7 linked regions of the Callithrix jacchus genome follow. The protein of the gene in region 2 purifies or fractionates together with the protein of the main gene of each other region. This does not show direct contact. Links are inferred from orthologs where the notes say so. Each region holds a gene or a part of one and is shown on either strand. Other genes may lie near its edges. The genes, in order: DDX5, EP300, SMARCA4, STRAP, SMAD1, SOX9 and CITED1.

What was found.
Region 1: the proteins of EP300 (region 2) and DDX5 purify together in Homo sapiens (affinity purification with western blotting; 5 studies listed by BioGRID and IntAct, with this or other methods). This does not show direct contact. The link is inferred for Callithrix jacchus from reciprocal best matches to the Homo sapiens genes EP300 and DDX5.
Region 3: the proteins of EP300 (region 2) and SMARCA4 purify together in Homo sapiens (affinity purification with western blotting; 4 studies listed by BioGRID, with this or other methods). This does not show direct contact. The link is inferred for Callithrix jacchus from reciprocal best matches to the Homo sapiens genes EP300 and SMARCA4.
Region 4: the proteins of EP300 (region 2) and STRAP purify together in Homo sapiens (affinity purification with mass spectrometry; 3 studies listed by BioGRID, with this or other methods). This does not show direct contact. The link is inferred for Callithrix jacchus from reciprocal best matches to the Homo sapiens genes EP300 and STRAP.
Region 5: the proteins of EP300 (region 2) and SMAD1 purify together in Homo sapiens (affinity purification with western blotting; 5 studies listed by BioGRID). This does not show direct contact. The link is inferred for Callithrix jacchus from reciprocal best matches to the Homo sapiens genes EP300 and SMAD1.
Region 6: the proteins of EP300 (region 2) and SOX9 purify together in Homo sapiens (affinity purification with western blotting; 3 studies listed by BioGRID). This does not show direct contact. The link is inferred for Callithrix jacchus from reciprocal best matches to the Homo sapiens genes EP300 and SOX9.
Region 7: the proteins of EP300 (region 2) and CITED1 purify together in Homo sapiens (affinity purification with western blotting; 3 studies listed by BioGRID and IntAct, with this or other methods). This does not show direct contact. The link is inferred for Callithrix jacchus from reciprocal best matches to the Homo sapiens genes EP300 and CITED1.

What each region holds. Positions count from the first base shown.
Region 1 is NC_133506.1:89,766,629-89,770,621, reverse strand, and holds the start of DDX5 (putative ATP-dependent RNA helicase DDX5), read left to right. Parts: upstream 1-1,193; 5' UTR 1,194-1,304; intron 1,305-1,397; exon of another isoform or gene 1,398-1,558; intron 1,559-1,755; exon of another isoform or gene 1,756-1,790; 5' UTR 1,791-1,925; coding exon 1,926-1,969; intron 1,970-3,181; coding exon 3,182-3,347; intron 3,348-3,687; coding exon 3,688-3,784; intron 3,785-3,884; coding exon 3,885-3,993. Other genes in the region: CEP95 (centrosomal protein of 95 kDa), read right to left, coding at 963-981. UniProt on the Homo sapiens protein: Involved in the alternative regulation of pre-mRNA splicing; its RNA helicase activity is necessary for increasing tau exon 10 inclusion and occurs in a RBM4-dependent manner. Binds to the tau pre-mRNA in the stem-loop region downstream of exon 10.
Region 2 is NC_133502.1:191,955,154-191,958,653, forward strand, and holds part of EP300 (histone acetyltransferase p300), read left to right. Parts: coding exon 1-334; intron 335-1,956; coding exon 1,957-2,136; intron 2,137-2,359; coding exon 2,360-2,504; intron 2,505-3,500. UniProt on the Homo sapiens protein: Functions as a histone acetyltransferase and regulates transcription via chromatin remodeling. Acetylates all four core histones in nucleosomes. Histone acetylation gives an epigenetic tag for transcriptional activation.
Region 3 is NC_133523.1:10,214,749-10,218,151, forward strand, and holds the end of SMARCA4 (SWI/SNF-related matrix-associated actin-dependent regulator of chromatin subfamily A member 4), read left to right. Parts: intron 1-85; coding exon 86-228; intron 229-2,353; exon of another isoform or gene 2,354-2,441; coding exon 2,442-2,474; 3' UTR 2,475-2,903; downstream 2,904-3,403. UniProt on the Homo sapiens protein: ATPase involved in transcriptional activation and repression of select genes by chromatin remodeling (alteration of DNA-nucleosome topology).
Region 4 is NC_133510.1:7,425,223-7,429,351, reverse strand, and holds the start of STRAP (serine-threonine kinase receptor-associated protein), read left to right. Parts: upstream 1-1,329; 5' UTR 1,330-1,650; coding exon 1,651-1,762; intron 1,763-2,484; coding exon 2,485-2,620; intron 2,621-4,129. UniProt on the Homo sapiens protein: The SMN complex catalyzes the assembly of small nuclear ribonucleoproteins (snRNPs), the building blocks of the spliceosome, and thereby plays an important role in the splicing of cellular pre-mRNAs.
Region 5 is NC_133504.1:51,521,875-51,526,116, reverse strand, and holds the start of SMAD1 (mothers against decapentaplegic homolog 1), read left to right. Parts: upstream 1-1,442; 5' UTR 1,443-1,527; intron 1,528-1,627; exon of another isoform or gene 1,628-2,966; intron 2,967-4,242. UniProt on the Homo sapiens protein: Transcriptional modulator that plays a role in various cellular processes, including embryonic development, cell differentiation, and tissue homeostasis.
Region 6 is NC_133506.1:128,133,516-128,137,554, forward strand, and holds the start of SOX9 (transcription factor SOX-9), read left to right. Parts: upstream 1-1,239; 5' UTR 1,240-1,605; coding exon 1,606-2,036; intron 2,037-2,938; coding exon 2,939-3,192; intron 3,193-3,750; coding exon 3,751-4,039. UniProt on the Homo sapiens protein: Transcription factor that plays a key role in chondrocytes differentiation and skeletal development.
Region 7 is NC_133524.1:69,534,786-69,538,788, reverse strand, and holds the start of CITED1 (cbp/p300-interacting transactivator 1), read left to right. Parts: upstream 1-1,203; 5' UTR 1,204-1,336; intron 1,337-1,389; exon of another isoform or gene 1,390-1,880; 5' UTR 1,881-1,899; intron 1,900-2,108; 5' UTR 2,109-2,273; intron 2,274-2,474; exon of another isoform or gene 2,475-2,564; intron 2,565-2,988; 5' UTR 2,989-3,096; coding exon 3,097-3,109; exon of another isoform or gene 3,110-4,003. UniProt on the Homo sapiens protein: Transcriptional coactivator of the p300/CBP-mediated transcription complex. Enhances SMAD-mediated transcription by strengthening the functional link between the DNA-binding SMAD transcription factors and the p300/CBP transcription coactivator complex.

The sequences.
Region 1 (3,993 bases), on a different chromosome or scaffold from region 2:
AACTTAGGCTATTAAGAACTGGTATAATGACAACATCAACGCTAATGCATTTATTAAGTTTTTCTTTTTTATTATACTGATCTAAATGAAAGGAAATATGGGAAGTATATGAAAACATCCCTAAGCTCAGAATTATCAATACTGTTGACCTTTCCTGTGCTCCGGACTCCCCTCTCCCAGATATTGCTGGGACTTGCAAAGTTTAACGGTTTCTCTAGCAAAAGTAACTTCGCATAAAATACTTGTTCCCTGAAATGCCTGGCATTGGTAGGAAAGCACTTTCCTTCGGTACTAGACACAAACGTCTCCACTATATTCCGGACACATAACGTTCTGGAAACAAATGAGTGTATCTTCCATGCACATAATTCCCCTCCCCACGCCCATTTCTCACAGTTGGCCAAACCGTGAGAACTGGTTTGTATGCAGTCCTGGCGAAAAGGATGAAAGCGTCCTAGACAACCAAACCAATTCGCTTTTCAAAAGCGTTGCTAGACAAAGCCCATGACTTCAGAGAACACTGAAGAGAAAAAAGCACCAGTATTCTGCGACATGGGCATCAACAAATCTTAAGGTGCTGTTCCTTTAAAGACCAATACAAAAGTAGATTAGACCTCAGGACCCACAGTACAAGGGCGGAGGGCACACTGACAGCGGCCAGACAACTCCACAGAAGGACAAGTCCGGGAACGACCCTTCTGGTTGCTCTTTTTGCACCCAAGACCCGAGTGTGCTACCAGGCTCGCCCCAGTGCCTCTCTCCTACCGCCTATCACTGTTCCACAGCCTCACAGAGAAGGAGAAAAGCTGAGAGACCCTATCCAGAGAACCCGCCACCGCGACGCGGCGTCTGACAGTCACGAGTCCCGCCGACAGCCTAGACCCAGTCCGGGCCAGCCCAAGGCCTCCCTGAAGCTGGACGGCCTCAGTTCACACCAACCGTGACCCCAGGCCGACACTCACCAGCCTCCGAGCCGGCCATGTTTTGGAGGCAGTTTGCCGCCGGACCCCTACAGGCCAGGCAGGCTACGGTGTCCTGGAAGGACCGATCCACACAGATTCGACGCTTGGATGAGGGCGAACGAACCCAAGCGCTGGGAAGGAGGCGTGAAAGAGGGAGGGACATCAAAGGGGCTGCTCGCCGCTGATTGGTCACAGAGCAGCACTTCCTTTCACAGCACGTGCCAGGGCGGCGGTTTGCTGAGTTTAGAGACCATTCTCCGCTGGCCAGAACCCGGTAGATGATTGTCAGATCCGTGGGTCGGCAGCCCAGGCGGGTCCTGGGGCTTTGGGAGCGCACTTCCGGTACTATTTCGTTATGTATCCCTCCGCCGACGTCAACGGAGAAGTAGTGCGGCCCGCTGACCGGTGGCGGGGGTGGTAGTCACGTGACACGCCAGTCCCCGCCTGCCATTTGGTTACGGGCGTGAGGGCCCTTTGGAGACGTAAACATCTCCGAGTGAGGAGGGTTGGCTGGCCTGGGCAGGCTGTTTTATCGTCTGGCTGGGCCTGGGAAAGGGCGGGGTGGCTTGCTTGAGGTGTGGAAAGACGAGAAGAAGGTAAGGTCAAGAGAGTGCAGAATGAGACATTCCAATAGTGGGTGGGCCCTGAGCTGAGAGGCTCTCCTGGAGCGCCGGCTGCCGTTGCGGCTTCTGCGCGACGGGCGGGGCGATTAGGTCATAGAGCGGATCCCAGCGTTCCTTGCGGCGTAGGAGGCGGTCCAGACTATAAAAGCGGCTGCCGGAAAGCGGCCGGCACCTCATTCATTTTCACCGGTCTGTGGTCTTGTAGCTCCGGATTGTGTCATCGCCGTCCGTCCTCCGCTGCCGCCCCCGCAAGGCTTCGCTGTTGTCGAGGCCATTTCCAGCGACTCGTCGCACCCTTTTGTCTGTACTTCGTTCCCCGCCAACCGCAACCATTGACGCCATGTCGGGTTATTCGAGTGACCGAGACCGCGGCCGGGATCGAGGGTGAGTGTGGAAGCCGAGCTGTCAGGCCTAGCAGGTGGGGGATGGGACGGCAGGTGAGGGTGGCGGCCGGCGGGGGCTTTGGGGCTCGGACTCGGCCTTTCCGGATTCTCCTGGGGCCTCGTCTCTTGAACACTTGCGCCATTTTGATAATCACGTAACAGTGATTGGGAGTGGTTTATCGGTGTAGTGCCCTCAAGCTCGCTTTTTGTTGGGATTAGGAAGTCGTCGGGGCCGCTGCCATTTGGTAGCTGTTGGAGGAATTCAGAGGGAGCATATTGTGCGTTGGAAAGCACGACGTTTCGAGTAAGACGAAGTAGCAGCTCTTAGATTCTGCCTTTCAGGAGGTGTTTTTCGGGTGGCCGGGCATTCTGTGGGAGCTCTAGGACCACTTCTAAAGCCACTGATGCTGGGGGGGGTTAGGAGGGCGGTCGGCATTGCCGGCATCAGCCATGTGGCTGAGTCGCGGGTACAAAATGCCGGCCTCGGACATGGCGGCGGCGCCTTTGTTACCCCGCCCGGCGGAGGAGCTCAAAATGGCAGCGTCGAGAAAATGTGGCGCAGAGAGAAATGCGAGACAAAGGGGGAAGCGCCGCCCCAGCGGGAACGCCGCCCGGCCGGCTCCGCCCGGGCCGGGACTCCTCCCCCGGTAGTCGCCGGCTCCTCCTTTTCTTTTTTCCTGCGTTATATAATTTTTATTCGTTGATCGGGAGCTCTACCGCGGCGTCCCCCCAGCTCGGTTTGCTAGCAGAAGTATTTGCGAGAAAACCCTTGTTTTGGTCTCGCTGTCTGTGCTGTCTCGATTCTTTAACACCAAAGCTCTTTGGCTTGAAAACGGCCATATGAGTAACATCGTTGGGATGCTCTTTGGTTCGTGTATCCTTGTTATCCCTGATACTTAATTCCTAGACTGGTGGGGAAGATTATAGTAACCGCAAGAAGTGGTGTGTATCCGAAATTATGGCATCTGGGCCGCAAGTTCCCGACATGATAAATCCAGGGCTGTTTACATGGCCTAAGTGTGTACTTGGGACTACTAGAAATGTTAACTGTGGCTAAGAGAAAGACTATCGTTAAGGACAGTGCTTTGTTTACTAAACCTCTTAAGGTCGTTTTTCAGTGATCTGTAGCTTTGTGTCAAGGGATGGTAAACAAATCTGTATAGAAACCTGTGTTTAGATATTTGAAAACGTGAATAACGTTTTTTCTTTGCAGGTTTGGTGCACCTCGATTTGGAGGAAGCAGGGGAGGGCCTTTATCTGGAAAGAAGTTTGGAAACCCTGGGGAGAAACTAGTTAAAAAGAAGTGGAATCTTGATGAGCTGCCCAAATTTGAGAAGAATTTTTATCAAGAGCACCCTGATTTGTCTAGGCGCACAGCAGTGAGTAAATTAATGTGGCTTCATCAGGCTGTAACTCAGTAATGGATTCTAGTAAATGAAAATCTGACAGGTGTTTTGCAAATGATTCAATTTTGGTAGTTACGTTTTCTGACTTCATAATTGGGAAAGTTGTGACTCAATAGGTGGCTTTGGGATTTTTTTTTTAACTTAATTAGGTTGAGAACGGAATAAACTGTTCTTTTGCCATATAGTGTTTTCATATATGGGTCAGATAAAAACGAAAGCTACTTTACTCAATTACGAATTTAGGGGCTTACCAGTTACATTTAGCTAGGGGTGGTTGCCATGAACTTTAAGACTGTTAAAATTTGTTTTGCAGCAAGAGGTGGAAACATACAGAAGAAGCAAGGAGATTACAGTTAGAGGTCACAACTGCCCGAAGCCAGTTCTAAATTTTTATGAAGCCAATTTCCCTGGTAATTCTAGTTTTCAGTTCTATCTACCACTGGGATTTTGTTCCCACCCACTCCCTTTTACTTGGCATTACTAATTTTTACTAAATATCTGTCACTATAGCAAATGTCATGGATGTTATTGCAAGACAGAACTTTACTGAGCCTACTGCTATTCAAGCTCAGGGATGGCCAGTTGCTCTAAGTGGATTGGATATGGTTGGAGTAGCACA
Region 2 (3,500 bases):
GCATCAGAATTCCCCCTCGCCTGTACCTAGTCGTACCCCTACCCCCCATCATACTCCCCCAAGCATAGGGGCTCAGCAGCCACCAGCAACAGCAATTCCAGCCCCTGTTCCTACGCCTCCTGCCATTCCATCTGGGCCACAGTCCCAGGCTTTACATCCCCCTCCAAGGCAGACACCTACACCACCAACACAACTTACCCCACAAGTGCAGTCTTCACTTCCTGCTGCTCCTTCAGCTGACCAGTCCCAACAGCAGCCTCGCTCACAGCAGAGCACAGCAGCCTCTGTTCCTACCCCAACAGCACCGCTGCTTCCTCCACAGCCTGCAACTCCAGTAAGTAGAGATTTGGATTTAGGCAGAATCATTAGAGTTACACTGTAGTATTATATTACTTCTGGGCCATTTCTGTTATTCTCTTTTATCACTTACTGTTTTCTCCACAAGTAGAATGTAATCTCTTTTTCATTAGGGACTTTCTTACCCTGTTGTGCCTTGCTGTGATAGGACCTATTATAGTAGCAGGAGCATAAAGATTTTATTTCTATCTGACTTTGACCATTATGTTTCATGTTGTACTCTAAGGTTGAAGGTATGTAAAGAGGTATGGCAAGGGGACACAGTCCTCTTCCTTATTTAGTATATCATTTAGTGCAGTATATAAATATGACACATATTTAAAGAATTTTTTTCAAACAGTTTGAGCTGTAAAACTTAAGAGACTGAATTTTAAAATTCTAGAGTCAGGCAGGCATGGTGGGTTACACCTGTAACCCCAGCACTTTGGGAGGCCACGACGGACAGATCACTTGAGGTCAGGAGTTCAAGACCAGCCTGGCCAACATGGTGAAACCCCATCTCTACAAAAAATACAAAATTTAGCCAGATGTGTTAGTGGGTACCTCTAATTCCAGCTGCTTGGGGGACTAAGGCAGGAGAATTGCTTAAACCTGGGAGGCGTTGGAGGTTGCAGTAATTGAGATGGCACCCACTGCACTCCAGCCTAAGCAACAGCAAAACTCTGTCTTTAAAAAAAAAAATCGCAGATTTATGAGTCCCTGTGGCCCTATCCAAAATTAAAAAATCATCTAAGATGAGAGAATTACAGACCCAGAACAACCTGTAGCTCACTTGTGAGAAGTTGGTTATGTATATAATAAAAATCCAAATTCTCATATAATAGTTGAGTCCTTATTAATAGAACTCTTTTTGTTAAGGGTTTAGCAGCTTCTACTTTGATATCGATAGTAATATATTAGTTCTCAACAGTTTGAACTGAGAAGTCCCATGTGTCACAGCCATTTTATAAAATACTGTAGTTGATGGATGGCTGGTTCATCGTGGCCTCTGATAGACAAGGAAGGACAGAAAGAGGAACCAGTAGATTTGTTTAATTTTATTCTTTATAAAATCAAGGGTAGTTTCAGAAAATACTGACTTCTCATTAAGAGGTTTCTTATGACAAGACTTAGGAAGAAGATAGGGATTGCCAGTTATCTCATTAGAATCTAGTGATTGAAAACAGCCACTATGTGGGACATCATTATATTTATTCTCTTTTTCTGTACATTTGAAACTTTATGTAATGAGAAGGTAAAAACAAAAAAGATAGCCAGTTTTGTTATTTTCTTTCATCCCATTTTTGTATAAATATGAGCTCCTATGAAGCAGACATCTTTGAAACCCCCACACGGCCAGAGAACGATAGTTATCAGTGAAATAGTTGCTGGCTGTTGGATGTACACCCAGCCAGCCAGCATTTACGAGTCTTAATTCTCCTGTCCTTAAGCATAATTAAAGGAGGTGAAATGAGCAGACCAAATGAAGGCACCGTGAATGAATATAAGCCAAGAAATAGGTGTTTAATTCTGCTGTCCTGTTGCTTACCTTACACTCAGATTGTATCACTGGCAAACTGTGTGTATGTGTCTCACCCACTCCCCTTTTTTTCTGCCTAGCTTTCCCAGCTAGCTGTAAACACTGAAGGACAGGTATCAAACCCTCCATCTACTAGTAGCACAGAAGTGAATTCTCAGGCCATTCCTGAGAAGCAACCTTCCCAGGAAGTGAAAATGGAGGCTAAAATGGAGGTGGATCAACCAGAACCAGCAGATACTCAGCCGGAGGATATTACAGAGGTGAGAGTAGGGAAGTTACTATTTGATGTGGTTAGGACCTCAGTCTGGGAACCCAATTTTTTAAAAATACTGCGGAAGAATATTTTGATAATTACATCTCATGGCATGAGAAAGGGTGGTGAGATTACATCCATAGGGGAGAGTAAATGATGTAATGAATGATAGTGATCTTATTGATTCCCAAGTAGATATTTTTGAAATACTAAAAACCCTTTTCTTTTAGTCTAAAGTAGATGACTGTAAAGTGGAACCTACAGAAACAGAAGAGAGAGGCACTGATTCAAAAACTGAAATAAAAGAGGAGGAAGACCAGCCAAGTACTTCAGCTACCCAGTCATCTCCAGCTCCGGGACAGTCAAAGAAAAAGAGTTGAGTCTCTTAGGCTGTTGGTTCTAGAAGTAGCTGAAGAAACCAAAGACCCAAGGCGGTATTGTGATCATGCCTCTTGGGCCTCAGAAGTTGCCATTAATGTGATTTCATTAACCTTGAAGCCCTGGGCCTGGTCTCTTCCTTGTTACTAATGTATTTTTTTTTTTTTAAGTTATATTCACTTGCAGCAACCATTGAGTTAGTCATTCCCCTCATTTCTTCAGAGTTCCTTGGTTAGCACCCTCTAAAAATTCTCTCTTTGGCCAGGCACGGTGACTCACACCTGTAATCCCAGCACTTTGGGAGGCTGAGGTGGGCGGATCACTTTGAGGTCAGGAGTTGGAGACCAGCCTGACCAACATGGTGAAACTCTGTCTCTACCAAAAATACAAAAATTAGCCAGGTGTGGTGGCACGTGCCTGTAATCCCAGCTATGCAGGAGACTGACGCATGAGAATCATTTGAACCTGGGAGGCGGAGGTTGCAGTGAGCCGAGATTGTGCCACTGCACTCCAGCCTGAGCAACAGAGTGAGACTTCATCTCAAAAAAAAAGTTCTATTTCTCAAAAGAGAAATGTTTGTAAATAGCCTTGGCTAAAATACAGGAAAGACTAGGAATAATAATAGCATTTATCATTTACCTTCCGTGTGTTAAGTACCCACATTGTCTCATTTAATAATTTATTTTCTTTTTTTTTTTTTGGAGATGGAGTCTCACTCTGTTTCCCAGGCTGGAGTGTAGTGGCACAATCTCAGCTCACTGCAACATCTGCCTCCCAAGTTCAGACAGTTCTCTTGCCTCAGCCTACTGAGTAGTTGAGACTAGCGTGCCACCACATCCAACTATATATTTTTTTTGTTTTTTTAGTAGAGACAAGGTTTCACCATGTTGGCCAGGCTGAAACTATCCTTAAAGTGATCTGCCCACCTCAGCCTGCCAAAGTGCTGGGATTATAGACACGGGCCACCGTTCCTGGCCCCATGGACTCTTATTT
Region 3 (3,403 bases), on a different chromosome or scaffold from region 2:
CCCTCCCAGCTCCCAGATGCCCCTTGCTGTAGAGGTGCTGTGTTCCCAGAGCTCACAGCTCCCTTTTCCTTCTGGTCCCCTCCAGCTCGATCTGTCAAAGTGAAGATCAAGCTTGGCCGGAAGGAGAAGGCACAGGACCGGCTGAAGGGCAGCCGGCGGCGGCCGAGCCGAGGGTCCCGAGCCAAGCCGGTCGTAAGTGACGATGACAGTGAGGAGGAACAAGAGGAGGTGAGGCTGGGCCCCGGGGCAGGCGGGGCAGGTGGGGCAGGCAGGGCTGGCGGGCAGCAGGAGGCAGCCCAGGGCCCTGACGGGATGGCCCTACGGGGCAATACTCCCACTCTGCAGATGGGGAAACTGAGGCTTCACGTTCCATGGCTGGCCCGTGGTCACACAGCAAGTACGTGGCAGAGCTGCCACTTAAGCCCAGGCCTGTGTGACCCTAAAACCAGCTATCAATACCTGTGCATGTCTGGGGACTGGGGGACCTGAGGTCTCAGGATGGACAGGAGGTGGGCCTAGGGCACCAGCGTCTGGGGTGAGGCTGGGCAGGCCAGGGGTTGATTGGGGTCAGGTGGGAGGTGCCAGGATTGAGGACCCACCAGGCAGTGCCCCATCTCCTTAGTGGCACACAGTGGAAAGTTTCTGGGGGGGCAGTGGGGGAGCCTGAACAGATACATTTACTGGCTTTTTTTGAGACAGAGTCTCACTCTATTGCCAGGCTGGTATGCAGTGGCATCATTTCAGCTCACTGCAACCTGTACCTCCTGGCTTCAAGCGATTCTTCTGCCTCAGCTGTCACCCCAAGTAGCTGTGACTACAGGCACATACCACCACGCCCCATGATTTTTTTGTATTTTAGTAGAGATGGTGTTTCACCGTTTGGCCAGGATGGTCTCGATCTCCTGACCTTGTGATCCACCCGCCTCGGCCTCCTAAAGTGCTGGGATTACAGGTGTGAGCCACTGCGCTTAGCCCCCTTGCTAGCTATAAATAAGATACGTCGTCTTTGTCTCTGGCCCTTCCTGGCTATGGGACCTGGCAGGCCACTCTGCTTCTGAAAGCTTCAGCTTCCTCTTAGCAAACAAGGAGGCTGCGTGGATTATGGGGGCTGCCCCCGCTCGAGGCCTGGCTCCCACCAAAGCCTGATGAATGCCATTTGGTCATTACAGAAGTAGGAAATGTCTGTGCCTGGGAATTAGTCTGACAAAACAGGCACGTGACCTTTGAGGACATTCATGAAGTCCTCATGGGGAAGGGAGGCCCGTGTGTCAGACAGGAGGGTCTGGGCTGTAGTGGCATCTCTCTTGCCCAACCCAGAACAGCGTGTTTTATGGCCCATGCCAGGCTTAAAAAGGCTTTATGAGGCCGGGCATGGTGGCTCACGCCTATAATCCCAGCACTTTGGGAGGCTGAGGCGGGTGGATCACAAGGTCAAGAGATCGAGACCATCCTGGTCAACAAGGTGAAACCCCGTCTCTACTAAAAATACAAAAATTAGCTGAGCATGATGGTGCACACCTGTAGTCCCAGCTACTCGGGAGGCTGAGGCAGGAGAATTGCTTGAACCCAGGAGGCAGAGGTTGCGGCGAGCCGAGATTGTGCCATTGCACTCCATTCTAGGTAACAACAGCAAAACTCCGTCTCCAAAAAAAAAAAAAGGCTTTATGAGGCCAGGCCTGGTGGCTCACACCTGTTAATCCCAGCACTTTGGGAAGCTGAGGCAGGAGGATTACTTGAGCCTGGGAGGTAGAGGCTGTAGAGAGCCATAATCGCACCACTGCACTTCAGCCTGGGCAACAGAGCAAGACCCTGTCTTAAAAAAAATTTTTTTTTTTTTTTTTTTAATAAAAATAAAAGGACTGGGCACGGTGGCTCGTGCTTGTAATCCCAACACTTTGGGAGGCCAAGGCGGGTGAATCACAAGGTCAGGAATTCAGAACCAGCTTGAACTACATCGTGAAACCTGTCTCTACTAAAAATATAAAAATTAGCCAGGTGTGGTGGCACACGCCTGTAATCCCAGCTACTCAGGAGGCTGAGGCAGGACAATTGCTCGAACCCAGTAGGCGGAGGTTGTAATGAGCCAAGATCGCACCACTACACTCTGTCTCAAAAAAAAAAAAAAAATTACATGAAAGCGCAAAGATCTTTCGCAGTCAGGAAGAGCCAAAATGTTTTGGAAGCTGTAGGTCAGGGGCCCAAGGCCAGGCAAGTGACATGGGACAGAGCAGGGAAGGCACATGGAGCCTCACGGGTCCCAAGAGAGTGAGTGTGGGCACAGGGACTGCTGCTCTAGAGAAACATGAAGTTGGGGTGTGGCCGTGGTTGCGGCAGCTTCTGTGGCCAGCGTCAGTTTTTTTTTTCTTGAGCAAGTTTATTTAATGCTTGGCAGGCCTCTGGCAGGGGCAGCTAACACTCACTCTCTCCTGTCTCCTCTCCAGGACCGCTCAGGAAGTGGCAGTGAGGAAGACTGAACCCCGACATTCCAGTCTCGACCCCGAGCCCCTCGTTCCAGAGCCGAGATGGCATAGGCCTTAGCAGTAACGGGTAGCAACAGACGTAGTTTCAGACTTGGGATAAAACTGTATAAACAAAAGAATCTTCCATATTTATACGGCAGAGAAGCTGTAGGACTGTTTGTGACTGGCCCTGTCCTGGCATCAGTAGCGTTTGTAACAGCATTAACTGTCTAACAGAGAGAGAGAGAGAATTCGGAATTGGGGAACACACGATACCTGTTTTTCTTTTCCTTTCCCGGCAGTTTGGAGTCACTGTAGTTCAGCGTGGATGCATGTGCGTCACCGTCCACTCCTCGTACTGTATTTTACTGGACAGGTCAGACTCGCCGGGGTATGTCAGTGTCACTGGATGTCAATCAGTAATAAATTAAACCAACAACAAAACGCACAGCCTACAGGTGGACTCATGCCTGGCTCCCCGGGTTTCTGCCAGCAGTAGTGGCGGGGCCACCTCATGTCCAGGTCCCCGTCCTCCCAGCACCAGAACCCATGGGGCCCATTTCACAGAGGAGGATCCTGAAGACGTGGCAGGGAGAGAGGACTTGCCTGGCTATGCAGGTGGCCTTTGCTGCCACAGCTCTCCAGCATGCATTCACCTGGGTCCTACGGTGCGGGGAGCAGGTGGCTCTGTCCCTTCCCTGCCTGTGGCCAGGGCTGGGTTGTGGAGACCCTCACAGAAACGGGCAGACGTCACATAGAGCTCTCGGTCAGGCCCATTCTGCAGGAAGCTCAGGGCATAAAGCGCAGGAAGCCCGGTGGTCAGGAAGGGCTTCTAAATCCAGAAAATAATTTGAGGTTTTCTTTTTTGTTTCTTTTTTGACACGAAGTCTGTGTCGCCCAGGCTAGAATGTAGAGGCGTGATCTCGGCTCACTGCAACCTCTGC
Region 4 (4,129 bases), on a different chromosome or scaffold from region 2:
AGAAGTTTCTGACTTTACCTGGAGCTGAGTCAAGTTAGAGAGCCGAGTGAAATACGGGGTAGAGGAAGCAGCGGAAAGGCCTTGGGAGCTCACTGGGTCCCCAAGCGGCCCATTCCTGCCTGGGACCACAGGGATCCATTGGAAGAGTGGCCAGGGGAGCAGATGGCAAAACTCCACAGGAAGAAGGAATCTGTAGCTGAACTTTGTAACAATGTGAACTGGGCAAGAAGCCTGGCCAGAACTTGGGGGACTGTGCGAATCTGGCTTGCACACTACACAGGCAGGGGAAGAACTAAAGCCCTTTTCTTTTGCAGCTGGGAGGTAGATAGCATCAGGCAAATTTTCAAGCCTGTCTCACCCTCCACCTGGAAACAGACTCCGGGCTGTTGCAGGGTCACAGTGGGAATGAGACCAGCCCTTTGCTTTGCATGGGATCTGAATGAGGCCTGTGACTGGGGGCTTTCTCCTACTTCCCTGACAACCTGCATGATTCAGCAGAGGCAGCCATAATTCTCCTGTATACACAATCCCAGTAGCCTGGGAATCTCACGCCCATTCCCCACAGCACCCGCAACAAGGCTGCCCAAATAGAGTCTGAGCTCAGACACACCTAGCCCTGCCCCTACCTGGTGGTCCTTCCCTATTCACCCTAGTCAACCAAGGAAAAAGTAACTTGAATTTGAACCGCGTTTAAAAGCACATAGTATCGACGCCTACAACACTAGCAACACAAAATTGACACAGCAGGAGATGGCTGGGGAATTTGTTTTTTAAGATAGGGTCTCGCCCTGTTGCTGAGGCCGGAGTGCAGTGGCCGACCGCTCGGGCTCCAGTAATCCTCTCACCCCAGCCTCCCAGGTAGGTGGGACCACAGGTGGCACCACGTCAAGCCCGTATGCAGTCTTTACATAAGACAAATTGCAAAAAATGTTGCTAGACAGTGTTCGCTAGTTTGGGCCGTCGGTGGGAACGGCTCCAGTGTCCGTCTAGATGATCAGATGCCGGGGACAGTCCTCAGCGGGGCTGCTCGGCGGGCACAGAGCAGCCGCTGGCCCATGGGCTTATGGGAGTGGGAACGGCTTTTAACTCGGCCGCGAGCGGGGAAGGCGTTCTGACCCGCTAGAGCTCGGGGCGAGGGACCCTACCCGCTGCCTAGAGCGCCTCTAGGCGCCTGCCGTAGCCGGCGCGGGCCGGTGCTAGCGGTCCGATAAGAACTCAACCGGCTCCTGCACCTCCCTGTACTTCTCGCTGCTTCTTCCAGTCACTTCTACCCCGCGAGTCGGCCCGCCCGCCAATCGTCACTTCCGGCGGGTGCTGCGCATTATTTACGTCGTCACTTCCTGTCGATGCCGGTGTGGACGCTGTGAATCGTGGCTGGGTCGGTTCTCCGCTTCTCCCCGTCCCCTACTTTCCTCCCTCCCTCCCTTTCCCTCCCTCGTCGACGGTCGCTCGCCCGTCGCAGACTCCCGGACCCCACCCTCACCCCTTCCTAACCTCCGTGCCACCGGATTGCCCTCCTTTTCCTGTCTCCCAGCCCAGCCCCAGTGTCAGGGCGGGGGCCTGGAGGAGCCGGAGGCGCTGCAGCAGACGAGAGAAAAAGACAACGACGACCCTCGGCTCTCCAGTCCGGTAGCCGCACTCGCCGCCGCCATGGCAATGAGACAGACGCCGCTCACCTGCTCTGGCCACACGCGGCCCGTAGTTGATTTGGCCTTCAGTGGCATCACGCCTTATGGGTATTTCTTAATCAGCGCTTGCAAAGGTGAGCAAGGCCTCTGATCCTTGTCCCCGATCGCTGGGACTGGGCTGAAAGGGATTGGGACCCGCACGCTCCAGTGCCGAAGCGCGGGGTTGGCGGGGGCGGGGAGGGAACGCTATTAACCTCCGAAGTGAGGGCCAGCACTGGAAGTCCGGTGGAGAAAGCAATGTGTTCGAGAATCCGCAACTGGAGCCGAGAGACCTCTGGACGCTTTTGTAGAGACTGTTACCTCCAACTAAGACCCCTCTCGTTGTTTTCTTTTTATTGCTATTTTTGGAGGAGCTGGACAGCACTTGCCTGCACTCTCGGGACAACGTTGTAAATAGCTTTCAAGGATTTGGGGAAAGGAGAAATTAGGCCAGGCCGTGAAATACTTAACAAAGACGTTCGCTCTTGTCTCACTGGATATTCCTTTGTGGCATTAGCCTTATTTTTCAGATGGGAAACTGAGATTTAGGCTAAGGTGTTTGTCCAAATTAAGAGTCAAATCTAGATTGTTTTGACGCAGATCAGCATTCCCACCGAATTACAGATGCTTTTCAGAGAGAATGGTCTGTTCGGCTCTCAGTTAATTTATTTCTGGACGTTCCTTGGTGACTTCAATGGGCGGTTAAATAGTTGAAACGATTTTTCCACTTTGTCATTGAACATCATTGTATATTTACATTTGCATCTTAGACTTTAATCTGAACTTTAAATCACATGTCTTAAAAAATATTTTCTAGATGGTAAACCTATGCTACGCCAGGGAGATACAGGAGACTGGATTGGAACGTTTTTGGGTCATAAAGGTGCTGTTTGGGGTGCAACACTGAATAAGGATGCCAGCAAAGCAGCTACAGCAGCTGCGGATTTCACAGCGTAAGTGTAGCCAAGATGGCTAACGTCGGTGTTCTCTGTAGATTGTGTCCAGAAATAATGAAAAAGTTCAACCTCAGATATTCATAGAATTCTGAATCACTGGCTGCTATGTAGAATGCCAGATGTTTGAGCTCACCAAAATTCCACTGTGGTCCTGTGTGCTTGTTTTCAGTGGTTCTCAAAATTTTCAGAGGCTTAAATGACTTATTCCTTATGTTTTGATTAAGACTCAGGAGCCTGCATGAACAAACACTCCAGATGATGAATATTGATCTCCTTTACGAATGCTGCTCTGTGTGTACTCCTTAGTGAAATCCTACATGGGTGGCCTTAGGTTTTTATCTCAATCCCAGTTTTTGTTAGCTTGCTTTAGGCATCACTAACACTCATTGTGTCAAACAAACAAAAACAAAAAAACTCAACTTCTCTTCATTTCCTAAGTTTTTGAAGGTTGAAATGTAAAACATTCTTGATTTTCCCTTACATCTAGATTATCATCATCTTTTTTTGATTCTGCCACTGGGATGTCTCCTGATTACAGTGTTCCTCCATGTAGTATCTGCTGCTGCCTTAGTTCACAATCATTTTTAACTTTCTTCCAGTAGTTTCTTTTCCTCCTCTTCATATTCCATATTGTTGTCAGTTGTTTTCCTAAAAACATGTTTGATCATGTCACTTCTCTGCCTAATGATTTTCCTGTCTTCCCTTTGCCATTTTAGTATTTTGTGACCTTTGATATACATTAGAATACCAGGAGAGCTTTTCAAATATTCAAATGTATGTGTCCCAGAAACTCGGATTTAAAATTTTTTTTGGGTTTTTACTCTCTCTCTATATATATACTTTTTGCTACATGTAAAAATACTTTTTAATGCTTTTTACTGTATAGACACTAGCTGTGTTTCCCAGGCTGTCTTAAAACTCTTGGCCTCCATGCCTCAGCCTCTCAAAGAACTGGGGTTACGGGGTGAACTGCCATGCCTGGCACAGACCTTCTGGTTTGATTGGTCTGAGGATGGAGTACTGATCATACTGATCAGTGGTGGTTTTTTTTCTTGCCTTTCTTTCCTGTGTGCAGCCTTAGAAGCACGGACCTGAAGGACACTTCAGTTGTTGACACTTTACAGTTCGCTTCATCCTAGTTCTTCAGCATCATCTTCTGGCCCTGCACACCATAAACCCTACAATCTAATTATACTACACTTACTGTTGCCAGAATATACCTTACCTGTGCTGACTTTTGACTGTTAATGATGTTACTAAACTGACTGGCAGTGGCCCTCTTTGCCTTTTTGGGAATGTATAATGTTTTATAAATCTTGTTATTTCCAGTTCCTACCTGGTATTTGTAACTTAGGAATTTGACACTTGATTGTTTAAACTGATGAAGGCAATATCAAGAGCTGTTGTACATACACAGATTTATTAGACTTAAGAGGCTGGAGAGTACAAGTATTATTGGTTATTTATTATTTATTATTTATTTATTTCATTTATTATTTTTGAAAC
Region 5 (4,242 bases), on a different chromosome or scaffold from region 2:
AAAAAAATTACAGCTTTAAAATATCAGTTTATAGCTCCCCTCCCCGTTCAGGATCCAATCAAGGTCATATACTGCATTTCATTGTCATGCTTTTTTTTTTTTTAATAGCTTGAGGAAAATTCACATATCAAATGATTGACCCATTTAAAGTGTACAATTCAATGGCTTTTGGTATATCCACAGAACTGTGCAACCATCACCAGAAACTAATTTTAGAACAATTTTGTCACCCCATGACCTTTAGCTGTCACTCCCCAGGTTCCTCAATTCCTCAACCCTATGCAAACCAACAATCTACTTTCTGTCTCCATAGCCTTGCCTACTCTGAGCATTTCAGATATGTGGAAGAATACAATGTGTGGTCTTACTGTGTTATCTTCTTTCACTCCACATGTTTTGAAAGGTTATCCAGGTCACATGCATCAGTATCAGCACTTCATTCCTTTTTATGGCTGAATAATGTTCTCTTGTATGGGATATTTTGTACTGTTTATCAAGGGAGAGTTTTCAACAGGGGAGTGGCCTAATCTGAGTGGCATTTAAGAAGGTTCACTTTCCTGTTGTTCCAAGCAGCAGAGAATGACCAACTGCATCAAATGCTGCTTTTAGGGAAAATAGGATGAATTCCACGAATTGACCAGTAAGGGCGCAAATAGTTTAAGGAAAAAAGGAATTTACTATACATTGATATATGTTAATGATACACTGGATACACATGGCTGGGAGTGATGTTTTTTGCTTCATGTGAAATTTATTCCTCAAAAAATTATTCTTTTCTAAACGTCACTCAACGTTATGGTAATTATCCAAGATTTTATGCAGCTTCCAGAGAGTTGGCCAAGAGAAAAGTTGACTCTTGCAAGAAGATACTTTCAATGTCCATGCAGATCAGGTAGGTAAGAGTTAAGTTTGTTTTCGGGGTGTTGGCATCATCTAAAAGACTGTAGAAATTGGACCAAAATGTAGAGTTCTAAAGCAGTATCTCCTTGTGGCATGTTATTATTTGGAGCAACAAGGTTACCTACTCGAATCATTGTATCCTGAGTTGACACAAAACCCATCTGTTGACCCAGGGTTTGTATAAGCACGTGCAGTAGTTACTAGCTAACCACTTCTGGGTACGTTCAGCTTCTGGTGCCTGCAAATTATTGGAGAGTGAGTAAGGGACAACGAAAACTAGACATCAAAGGGCCAGTCTCGAAAGATAACTGTCAACATGCATTCCATATTTACAGAAGAGTTAATGAGCGTTTCAGAAAATAAACACATGGAGCATCGAAATTCACTTGCAGATAATGCACCAAGTCCACTCTACCGGGACTAAAGAAGGCAGGGTTAGGAAAGCCAGAACGCCGCCACGCTGTTTTTTCTCCAGGAATAAACGGAGCGTGGGGCTGGGGGTGGAAGGGGGTGACTCGGGCCGCTCCCCCTCGCCGTCCTCCAGCCCAGGCCGCGCTGCGCTCACGCCGGCCGGGCCGGGAATTTGGAGAGGATCCCTGGTCGCTCGGCAGCGGCGGCGGCGCGCGGGTGAGCGTGTGAGCGGGCGGGCGGGCAGGCGAGTGCGCCGGGCATTGGCAGCCGAGGAGTGGAGGCTGGGCGGCTCCGACTCCCTGACGCCAGCGCGACCAGATCAATCCAGGCTCCGGGAGAGAGCGGGCTGAAGGGCGGGCGGAGGAAGGAGAGGCCGAGCGGCTCAACCCGGGCCGAGGCGCGGGAGGGACCCTGGGAGCGGAGCGCGGCGCAGCACCAGGCCGGCCTGACCGGGGCCGCGGGACCCCGCTCTCCCGGCCACTCGTGCGCCCGCGCGGATGGGCGCGCCGCCAACCCGGTAAAACGAAACAGACCCGAACCCAACTTTCCCTTCATGCTGCGTCCACGCCTTCCCCTCGGCGCCCCGGGCTTTCCAGAGCTGACGCCTCTGTACGCGTGGGGCCGCCGCGGTCCTGCGGGGCCGGGGGCGCGGACGGCGGCGGGGAGGGGGCTCTTTCCGCGCGGGGCGGACCGCGACGCCCCCACCCCCCATGATGGCGCCTCCCGGCTGCTCTGAGGAGCGAACCTGCCACCGCGTCCTCTCCTCCTCGCGCCCAGCCCGCCAGGCTCCCCCGGCGTCTTTGTTGGGTCTTCTGCTGTGGGAAGCTGAGTTCCCGGCCCCCTCTAGCCTCGGCCCTCAGGCCTGACCGCGCCGGGACCTCCCCAGCCGCGCTCCCTCTCCGCGCGCTCCTCACATCTCTCCGGTGCTGCAGCCGGGCCGAGGCCAGTCCGCGCGGCCCCGGGCCCATTGTGTCCCCGCGCCGGCGGGGCGACCCCTGCGGGAGCTGGAGAACGGCCGCCGGCGCTGCCTTCCCAGGCGCCTGGAGGAACGGGTCTCGTGGGCGGGGGACCCTGGCGCCCCAGACCCCTCCACATCCCGCACGGGTTTCCTTCTCGGCCCTAGCGAGCCTCTTTGGGGTCGAGGTCAAGGAAAGTTCGCACCGAAATCCCCTCTAATTTATTCAAAGGTTTGGCCGCGGCGCGTAATTTTTTCCTCCTCTTCCGCCTACACCCGCTTCGTCTCCTGGTGTCTCATTCCTTTCCCTTGACCGCAGTCGATTGCCTCACTGCATGTGTATTCGTGAGTTCGCGTTGAACAACTGTTCCTTTACTCTGCTCCCCGTCTTTGTTAGTGTTTCTCGGGGTTGTTTCTGTAGGAAGGTGGGGGTGGTGGGCGTGAGAGACAGACGTGGGCTTGTTTTTCTAGTTGCTGAATCTGTAAGAAGGCTTTAAAGGGAGAACGTTTCCTTGATGATGTGCGTTAGGAGGGGAGGAGGAACAAATGCCTGCCAGATCTCACAACTACAGTAGCTGCGCTTTTGTTTATTTTGAAGCGCATGCAATTTTTAAATAGACGGTGCAAGACAACCAGTAAAGACGCGTTTCTGAAAATTGAGACCGATCTCAGAACCATCTCCTGGGAAAGCATCATTTTCGTGAGTGCCGAGACAACTGTCCTTTTTCTACGTCCCCCCCCCCCCCGCCCGCTCCCCAGTCTTTCTCTCCTTTCCACTGCATCTGAAGTTTCAAAGTACGTGGAATGATACAGAAGTTGCATTTCTGTTGTGTCTTCCTGTTGCTGGAACTCTCAGCTGCTAAATCTCAGAATGCCTTTATTTCAATAAGAACATCTTTGGCTCTAATTGCCTGTTGCGGGTAACTTGCCCACATTTCAGTAACACAGTGAGAAAACTGTTCCCTGCCCATGTTGATTTTTCATCTTGTTTGTAATTAAATTGTATTGAAGGTAGGTGAGCTGTATTAAAAAAGAATCGGGACAGAACCAGTGTTTACTGCCCCAGCATTTTCAATTGGTATAAATATTGTTGCATCAGTGTTATTCTGATGTAGGTGCCAGATCTAAATATGCTGTACTGATTAAAATGTTTGTTCTGCCCTCTCCCACTCTCCCATTTTCAGTTATTTGATATTTCTGTGCAGGTGGTGTATCATTGGTGGTGTAATACTGCAATTCTTAGTAAAGTTTAACTAGGGTTGTGAAAGATGATTTTTCTGGAGGTGGGTGATGCCAGAGGCTCTAGAGGATCCAGGAAGGATCGGGTTTCTTCTGAGGGTAGGGATTTGTCCTTGATTTAGTTTTGACCCCTGCAACCATAGGTATGTAACCAAATACATTTTTCCTCTTGCTGTATCCTTTGGTTTCATATCCTTGAAGAGCTGATGATCTTTGTGTTTTAGAGAAATGACAGTTTTTAGGCAATTAAAAAAACATTGACCTCTAAGACTTCTTGGAATTTAATTTTATTTCTACTAAGTTTAGTAAGGCAGTAAGATGAAGTAAGTCACATTTTCTCAACTGCATTTGTTACATTTATTAGTTAAAAACTAAATTTCACTTTGTAATTTCGATTTCTAGCAATTCTGGGTTAAAGATAAAATCTAATAACTTAGTAGATTGAAAATAAGAAGTAACTTGGGTGTAATTAGACAAACATGTTTAAGCTGCAGTAGCCTCCATAATCAAGGCCAAGTGTGTGTGTATAACAGATCTCATTTGTGTAGTCTTACAAAGCTAATGGAAGCATCACTGAGGCTTTATAAATAATGTAAGTTGTGTATAATGTAGAGTCTCCAGAGACTGCAGAGAAAGCATCATTACCAGGCTTTTCAACCTGCTTGAGATCTTAAATTGATTTACAGCACTGAACTAGTGCAAAATGATACATCAGGATGACATGGGGTCAGCCTGTA
Region 6 (4,039 bases), on a different chromosome or scaffold from region 2:
AGCATTTCGTGTAAGCACAAAGGTTGTGCTCAAATCACACTTAAAATACATCAGAGACACTACCAATGCCTCCCCCAGAACTCCCAACTGCATGAAGGTCTCAACCGCCCGGACTAGAGTCAGAAGCGCAGGCACTTCACCCCTTCAGGTGTTTAGTAAATGCCAGGAAAAGCAGGCAAGCACCACGACTCCGCCAAAGTGGAGCGTTTTGTCTGCGGTGGTGCCCATCTGTTTTTTGGCCTTTTACAAACCAAGTGACCGGCCCGGGCCTCGCGGCTCCGGACGGCCGCACTGGCAAACTTCGATCTCTCAAAGCCAGAGCAGTCTGCACATTCTCCCCAGACAGGGGGGACTCGGCTGACGTTTTTGACTCGGCCAGGAAGCAAAGACCAAAACGTCAGCGCAGTAGCCCCGTTACTAAGGAGCGTCGGCGGGGTCGGGGGGTAGAGGGGGCCGGAGGAGGACTTGTCAGAGTTCAAGGTCGGTGTGGCGCGGGGCGGCCCCGAGAGCACTGGGCTCCTGCGGCATCGCCAAGGCCGCCGCTTCCAGCCTTCTTGGGGACTTAGCGCTTCTTTCCATTGACTCCCTTTGCAAAAGCTCAGCCGAAACCTGACCAGCCGCACCAGCCCCGGCGAACCTGAGCATGTTAATCTATTTATATGGATTATTTCGGAGGAACAGCGGGCGTTGAGTCACCAAAACATTTGCTTCAAAAGACTATTTCTAAGCACTTTTGCAGGCAGGCAGGCAGGCTCCAGGCGCGCAAACTCGGCTACGCATTAAGGATCGGCTGCCTTTCGAATACTGCAAACTCCAGCTAAGTTCCCGGTGCCGCGGAGAGAGCAGTGAAAAGAAATGTCGGATCTACTGGGGATAGATCCCAGTCTAGACACACACACTTGCACACACGCACACCCAAAGATTCGCGCAGAGAAGGCACTAAAACTCTGGCATTCCGAGAGTACGACAAACTTACACACTTGAAGTCCCGGGTCCCCCGCCTTCCCCGCAGCATCCCCCCCCCCAGCCCCCACTACCCCACCATCCACCCTTTGGCTGCGCTCCCCTCCCCTCTCCTCCCCTCCCGTCTCGTCACCCAGCCCAGTGCCACAATCCTTCTCCCTCCTCCAAAATCGGGTCCAATCAGCTTCCTGCCAACCCTGGGACTGCCGCGCTGTGATTGGCCGAAGTCTCTAAGGTGAGGCGGGTATTTATTGAGGAGACCCTGGGCTGGGAGTTGGAGAGCCGAGAGCGGAGCTCGAAACTGACTGGAAACTTTAGTGGCGCGGAGACTCGCCAGTTTCAACCCCGGAAACTTCTTTGCAGGAGGAGAAGAAAAGGGGTGCAAGTGCCCTACTTTTGCTCTTTTTCCTCCCCTCCTCCTCTCCAATTCGCTTTCCCCCACTTGGAGCGGGCAGCTGCGGACTGGCCACCCCGCGCCCTCCTAAGTGCCCGCCGCCGCAGCCGGCCGACGTGCCAGCCTCCCTGGGAGTTGCTCGCTCCGCGTCCGGGCAGCCTAGGGGAGAGGAGCCCGCGCCTCGAGTCCCCGAGCCGCTGCGGCTTCTCGCCTTTCCCAGCCACCCGCCCCCTGCCCCGGGCCCGCGTATGAATCTCCTGGACCCCTTCATGAAGATGACCGACGAGCAGGAGAAGGGCCTGTCCGGCGCCCCCAGCCCCACCATGTCCGAGGACTCCGCGGGCTCGCCCTGCCCATCGGGCTCCGGCTCCGACACCGAGAACACGCGGCCCCAGGAGAACACGTTCCCCAAGGGTGAGCCCGACCTGAAGAAGGAGAGCGAGGAGGACAAGTTCCCTGTGTGCATCCGCGAGGCGGTCAGCCAGGTGCTCAAGGGCTACGACTGGACGCTGGTGCCCATGCCGGTGCGCGTCAATGGCTCCAGCAAGAACAAGCCGCACGTCAAGCGGCCCATGAACGCCTTCATGGTGTGGGCGCAGGCGGCGCGCAGGAAGCTCGCGGACCAGTACCCGCACTTGCACAACGCCGAGCTCAGCAAGACGCTGGGCAAGCTCTGGAGGTACGGGTGCCTGGTGGGGGTGGCGCGGCAGGGTGGGCATCGCGGCTGCGGGGGTGCTGGCCCGGGCTGGCTTTTCCCGCCCCGCCTCCTAGCGCCCAGGAGTTGCCATTCCGGGAGCCGACTGGATCGGGCTGGGAGTAGGAACGGGGTGTAACTGGGGCTCAGAGTTTGACAAAGTTCTGGCTTTGCTCTCGGGGACGAGGAGGAGGGGGTGGTAAGTGGAAGGGGAGGAGGAGGTAGCCGGAGGATGGGCGAAGGCTGGTGGGAGACTGGGAGATGGAAGGAGGGGCTGCCAGCCTGCTCTATGGTCGCCTGGAAGCTCAATCGGGGCGGGGGTGGGGGGAGTGAAGTTTGCCTCCCCCCACCCCGCCCCTTAAAACTGCACTCTGTCTTGCAGTCCCCTACACCCATGGAGGGGGCAGGGGAGAAACTGAGGTTGGAGGAGACCCTTGGCAGGAATTGTGAGGGGGAGGAGGGAGGCTGCTTGAAATAGGTGGGAGTATGGGGGGGTGAGAATTGGGGAGTTTCTTACAGCTTAATTTGGGGGAATGTTTTTAGAAGGTGTTGGGTTGGGGGCGATAACTCCAGCAGCAAAGGCGTTTAGGGGGCAGCAGCAGGAGTTGTTTTCATCTCCAGCGTTTCCAAAATAGAAATAGAAGGGAAGGGGCGGGAGGGGGCGGGGAGTGACCGCTCAGGTCGGACTGCAAGAACTTATTTATTTATTTTTTTTTTTTAAGAAAAGTTATGAGCTGTGGTTGGAGGGAGGAGGGAAGATGGGGTTGCCGGCAAAGGAAGCCGAGTGGTCCTGATCGCCGCCTGCTCCCCAGGGACCTGACAGTTCGGCGGGTTTCACTGACCCCCCTCCCTCGTTTTCTCTATGCCCCCCGCCCCGCCCCGCGCAGACTTCTGAACGAGAGCGAGAAGCGGCCCTTCGTGGAGGAGGCGGAGCGGCTGCGCGTGCAGCACAAGAAGGACCATCCGGATTACAAGTACCAGCCCCGGCGGAGGAAGTCGGTGAAGAACGGGCAGGCGGAGGCCGAGGAGGCCACGGAGCAGACGCACATCTCCCCCAACGCCATCTTCAAGGCGCTGCAGGCCGACTCGCCGCACTCCTCCTCTGGCATGAGCGAGGTGCACTCCCCCGGCGAGCACTCGGGTGAGTCGCCCCTCGGCCCCGCGGGACACACCACCCCCTGCCCTCTACCTGGGAGATTCTTCGTAGAGACTTGACGCTTCTCGGGAGGGACACGCCACCCTTTGCGCCTGTCCCACTTCCCTCTCCACCCAGAGCCTAAGAGGCACCCAGACAGACACAGGCGCGCGTACACACACACAAACACACCCCTCAATCCCAGCATCCGAAGAGATTCGTGTTTTGTTTTTTCTTTATTGGGAGGTAAAATGCCCTTACAGCCCTACAAGACCTCCCCCTTTCTTCCCTTTGCACCCCACCCCAAAAGCACACACAGGGCTCTTCTACAAGTAGCAATTTGGTCTTCCGGACCCTCCAGGCCCCAGACCCTCACCTGATAAAAGGGGGCTGTCCAGTGTGTACTGGCGGGTTAATCATTGGGCGACTTATCTCCTGTGCAGCGCGCCTCCCGCGCGGGTGCGGGCCCTTATTGCCCTGTCGCAGCGAGGGAGGGTGCCTGAGACCAGGGCGTCTGCGCAGCCCGTGTTGACTTTCCCGTGCTTGTTCTTTTATCGTCCGCAGGTCAATCCCAGGGCCCGCCGACCCCACCCACCACCCCCAAAACCGACGTGCAGCCGGGCAAGGCTGACCTGAAGCGAGAGGGGCGCCCCCTACCCGAGGGGGGCAGACAGCCCCCCATCGACTTCCGCGACGTGGACATCGGCGAGCTGAGCAGCGACGTCATCTCCAACATAGAGACCTTCGACGTCAACGAGTTTGACCAGTACCTGCCGCCCAATGGCCACCCGGGGGTGCCGGCCACGCACGGCCAGGTCACCTACACGGGCAGCTATGGCATCAGCAGCACCGC
Region 7 (4,003 bases), on a different chromosome or scaffold from region 2:
CCGCCACCCCGCTTTTTTTTTTTAACCTCAGGACCTTTTCTTAAAGAACAGGTTTTATAAACAGTGTAAACTGAGTAGTTGTTGCTGAAAGGCAGCAGAAAAAGTGCAGCGGTGGCGAGGGGGCGGTAATAGGTAATCCTGATGACCTTCCCGTGAGAGGTATGGTGGGAATTTCTTGGCCACAGAGAACACGAATTGAGATAAGGGAGAAGACCCAGACCTCTTTCCAGTAAGGATTTGTAAGACATCTCTATCCAAGGAAGACGAACTCCAAATGCAAAATGTTATTCTTGCTAGACGCGAATGATTATATAATCATAGTAAAAGAACCTGGCATCGTAGGAAGGCAGAAGGAATCTCCACGAATTCTGGTGCAAGCTCTTCGTATCCTGTTGCCGGCTGTTGGTTTTTCAGCGAGCCTCCTGAGCTGCACCTAGCCCCACGGTCCGGGAGAGTAGCATTTCTCCGCGTCGCATCTTGCCAGCTTCCTGCTCTGGATGACCACAGAGCAGAAACCCTCCAACGCAACCCCAGCTCAGGACTTCGAGGAGAGCCACCACTGCCCTTTAGGCCCTCCATGCGACTCTGCGCAGAATCTGGCAACTTTAAGAGGAAAAGGAACCCCCAGCCTCAGCTGTTAAACGAATGAGATAGTACAGCCACCCCCTGCCCCACCACAAAAGGCAGACAGGATACAAAGCCCCGCAGAAAGCCCCGCAGAAAACTAATGACCATGCCCCGTCCCGTGTGCCTTAGACCTCTATTCCAGGTCACTCCTTGAGCCCACAGCTCTCTCCCAAAACCCCCGAAGCCCGCTTTGGCTCCCCGCTAGATTTAGGTCAGAAAACAGACACTAACGGCTCTCCTTTGCCTCAGTGAAATTACTAAGTGGAATTTATTGGGCAAGTCCACGCAGGTCGGTGGGGAGAGCCGGTGTCCCCGGCCCTGGCCCCCGACAGCTTTAGAAGCCGGGCACCGGCCAGGGCTCTGGGCGAGGGGTGCCCACAGCCAGGACTCCCCAGCCCCAACCCGGGAGCCGTGGCCGGTCCACAGGGCTGCAGGACCCGCGGGGCCGCGTGGACTCCGTTCCCCAGCCGGCCCTTCGCTTTCACACGATCCGGGGTGGCTGCACCAGCTTGAGCGCCTTTAAAGGGCCACACAAGGCAGCCACTGCTATAAAAATGTTCCCGGCGGCACAGCTGCAGAAGGGGCACCGCTGAGCTGCCGAGAGGAAGCTCGCTCTGCCCGGCTGCCCTCCTGTAGCCCGCCGGCGAGGGGCAGTTCGCGGTGAGGACAGAGAAAGAAGAGGACTGCACAACACTCGCGCGGGCCCTCCGTGAGTATCCAGTTCAGATTTTGCCACCAACTCGCCCAAGAGCCAGGACATGTGCTAATAATGCCCTAAGCCGGTTATAAAGACGTGGAAATTGGGGGGAGAAAAAAAAAAAGGGAAAAAAAGGGTCTGTCCTTCCTGGGATTCCTAGCCAAGGCCAGTCTGCTGTCGTGTGCGTGTGCGTCAGGGCTCTCCGGGCTGCAATGGGGGCTTGAGAGCCGGGTCCCCCGCGCCGGGAAGGGAGCGCGGTGGCCGACACCGCCACCGCCACCGCCCCGGAGTCCGGCGCCGAAACCGCGGGCGGGCGGGCGGGAGGGCACCGGCTAAGGCCGGAGCTGCTTGGCGTGGCACTGTGCGGTGCAGCGGCTGCGCGGCGCGGTGCGGGCTTTTCCCAGGCGCCTCGGGGTCGGGTGGCCACCGGCGCGGCCGCGGGCTCTGAGCGCGACCGGCTCGCGGCGGCGGTGGCGGTGGCGGCGTGCGTGCCAGGGGCTGGGGGCTCCGCCGCCTCTCCTGCGGCTCACCGAGCTCCGCGCTTCCCTCTCTCCAGGGCAGGCGGCTTCGCAGAGGTAAGCCGGGCCGCCGGGCTGGGCGCCGTGCTGGGCGGCGGGGCCGAGGACTCCCGTGTAGCGGGTGTGGGGAGCTGTGTGGGGAGCGGGTGGCCGCCAGGCGGGCCGGAGGGTTCTGTGGAGACTTGTTTTCTGTTGGAAAGCTACTCTGCTGGGGGCGAGGGGCCGCTGCTGCCGCCCGCCAGCCAGCGCGCCGGTTCGCTCGCCAGCCCGCCCGCCTGCCGGCCAGCCGGGCCAGGCGCCCGCTTCTCCCGGGGAGACGGCAGAACCTTTTCTCCCCGCGCCCGCGCTTTCTCCAGCTTGGCTTCCACCGACTTTCCTAATCGCCCGGACCGCATCTGGAAGCTCCGGCTCCGGAGCTGCACAAAGCTCAGGTTTCCTTCGGGGAATGGAGGCAAAAGGGGCTTTTCGGGCCGAGTTCAGCGTTAATTGCGGGATGGAAGTTAGTGAATTTGGACAACTTGCCTCTGCTGCCCAGTCGACCTCAGCTCTCCCCTCCCCCGACACACGCCCACACACACACACCCACGCGCACACCCCTCTCCCTATAAACGCGAGCGGCCGAGCCGCGCGCCGAGTCCCTGCCTCGCAGAGCTCCGGACTTGGAGTCAGAGAGACCTGGCTGCGAATCCCGGCTCCGCCACTTTCTAGCGCTGTGACCTTGGGCAAGTTACTGCACCTCTCCGAGCCTCTCTCACTCTTCTTGTAGCGGGATTTTAGCGCTGACCGCAGGCGGCTTGGCTAGCGAGTAGGCTCAGCCTGCGGCCGCGTCGGATGCTCAGCAGGCGCTAAGTGTTGATGAGGCGCGGGAGTGGCTGCTGCCGGCGCCGGAGTGCGCCCCCGCTCGCGGAAACGCAGCGGGCCCCCGGACTCGCCGAGGCCGACACCCCGCGCCCCTTCCTGCCTGTCCATCCTGTCTCTTCGATCAGTTCCTGATCCAGCACTTGCGGGAACGGACGCTCAGTGCCCCGGTGGCCTGGGTGCTCGCGCCCGCCGTGCAGGATGCTCCCGGCTGCCCCCGGTTCCGCGGTTCCATCTGGGATGCGGCGAGGAGGGCAGCCGAGCTGTCCGCAAACAACCGGCCTTTAGTTTTCAGGTGGCGAAACTGACTGGTCTGGTTAGAACGCGTCCAAGCCAAGCCGCAGTGCTGTTTGGATTTTTAAATTTCTCCTTCTGAGTGAGAAAATAGCAATCGAGATGGAACCATCCGGTTGGTGCCATTTTAACTTTTGGTCCCCCAACAGGTTAAAGATGAGGCCCCCACCTGCCTCTCTCTCCCTTCTGGTTTTCCTCTCCCCTTCCCACCCCTGTCTAGGCGGGAGGGGGCTGCCTGCCCAAGGGAATGCCTGAAGCGAAGAGCGGGCGGCGGGACTGGGAACTGGTGGCCGGGGGGCCGCGAGGCACCAGCCGGCGGGGAGGCACTTGTTGCTCTAGGTTTCCCAGCCGCCTCTCGCAGCCCGTTTTGCAGTGGTCAGCTCCCGGCTTGGAGAGCGGGCTGGGACATTTCCACGTTACCAAGTTTTGCCCTCGAACGGACTAGAGGTTGGTGACGGAGGACAGAAAACCGGGGAAGCAGAGCCAGGGATGCCGATCGAAATGCGATTGCCTCTTCAGACGCATTCAACAACTTACTGAGCGCCTGTGAAGCACAGACTCAGGCTGGGGGTCAGGGTGGGTGGTTGGTCAGTAATGGAAGGCTAAAGATCTGAATGGACGCAGGGTCTCTTCTGGAGGAGCCCCCGGCCTGAAGGGAGAGATGCGGTAAAATGGTCTTCCCCCACGAACTGACAGCAGAATAGAGATAGTTTTTCCTCGTTCTTTTTCTTTTCCTAATGCTTCCCTTTTGGTTTTGCTGTTGTTGCTGCTACTCCTGTTATTTTTTATTCTTTTTGTACATTCGGGTACCAGGCGGCATAAAGGAGAGGAAAGGCTGGATAGCATTGGGAAAACATGGACAGGGCCCCCAGACATTTTTCTTAGGACAGGAAAATTGCCTGATACTGATGGTACTAGGGCTCTTGAAGACGACATGTGTTAGGCTTCTTGTCTGGTGATCACTCGCTTTTGAAATATTTTTCTAAGGTTGCCTCAGAGAAGGAGCAGG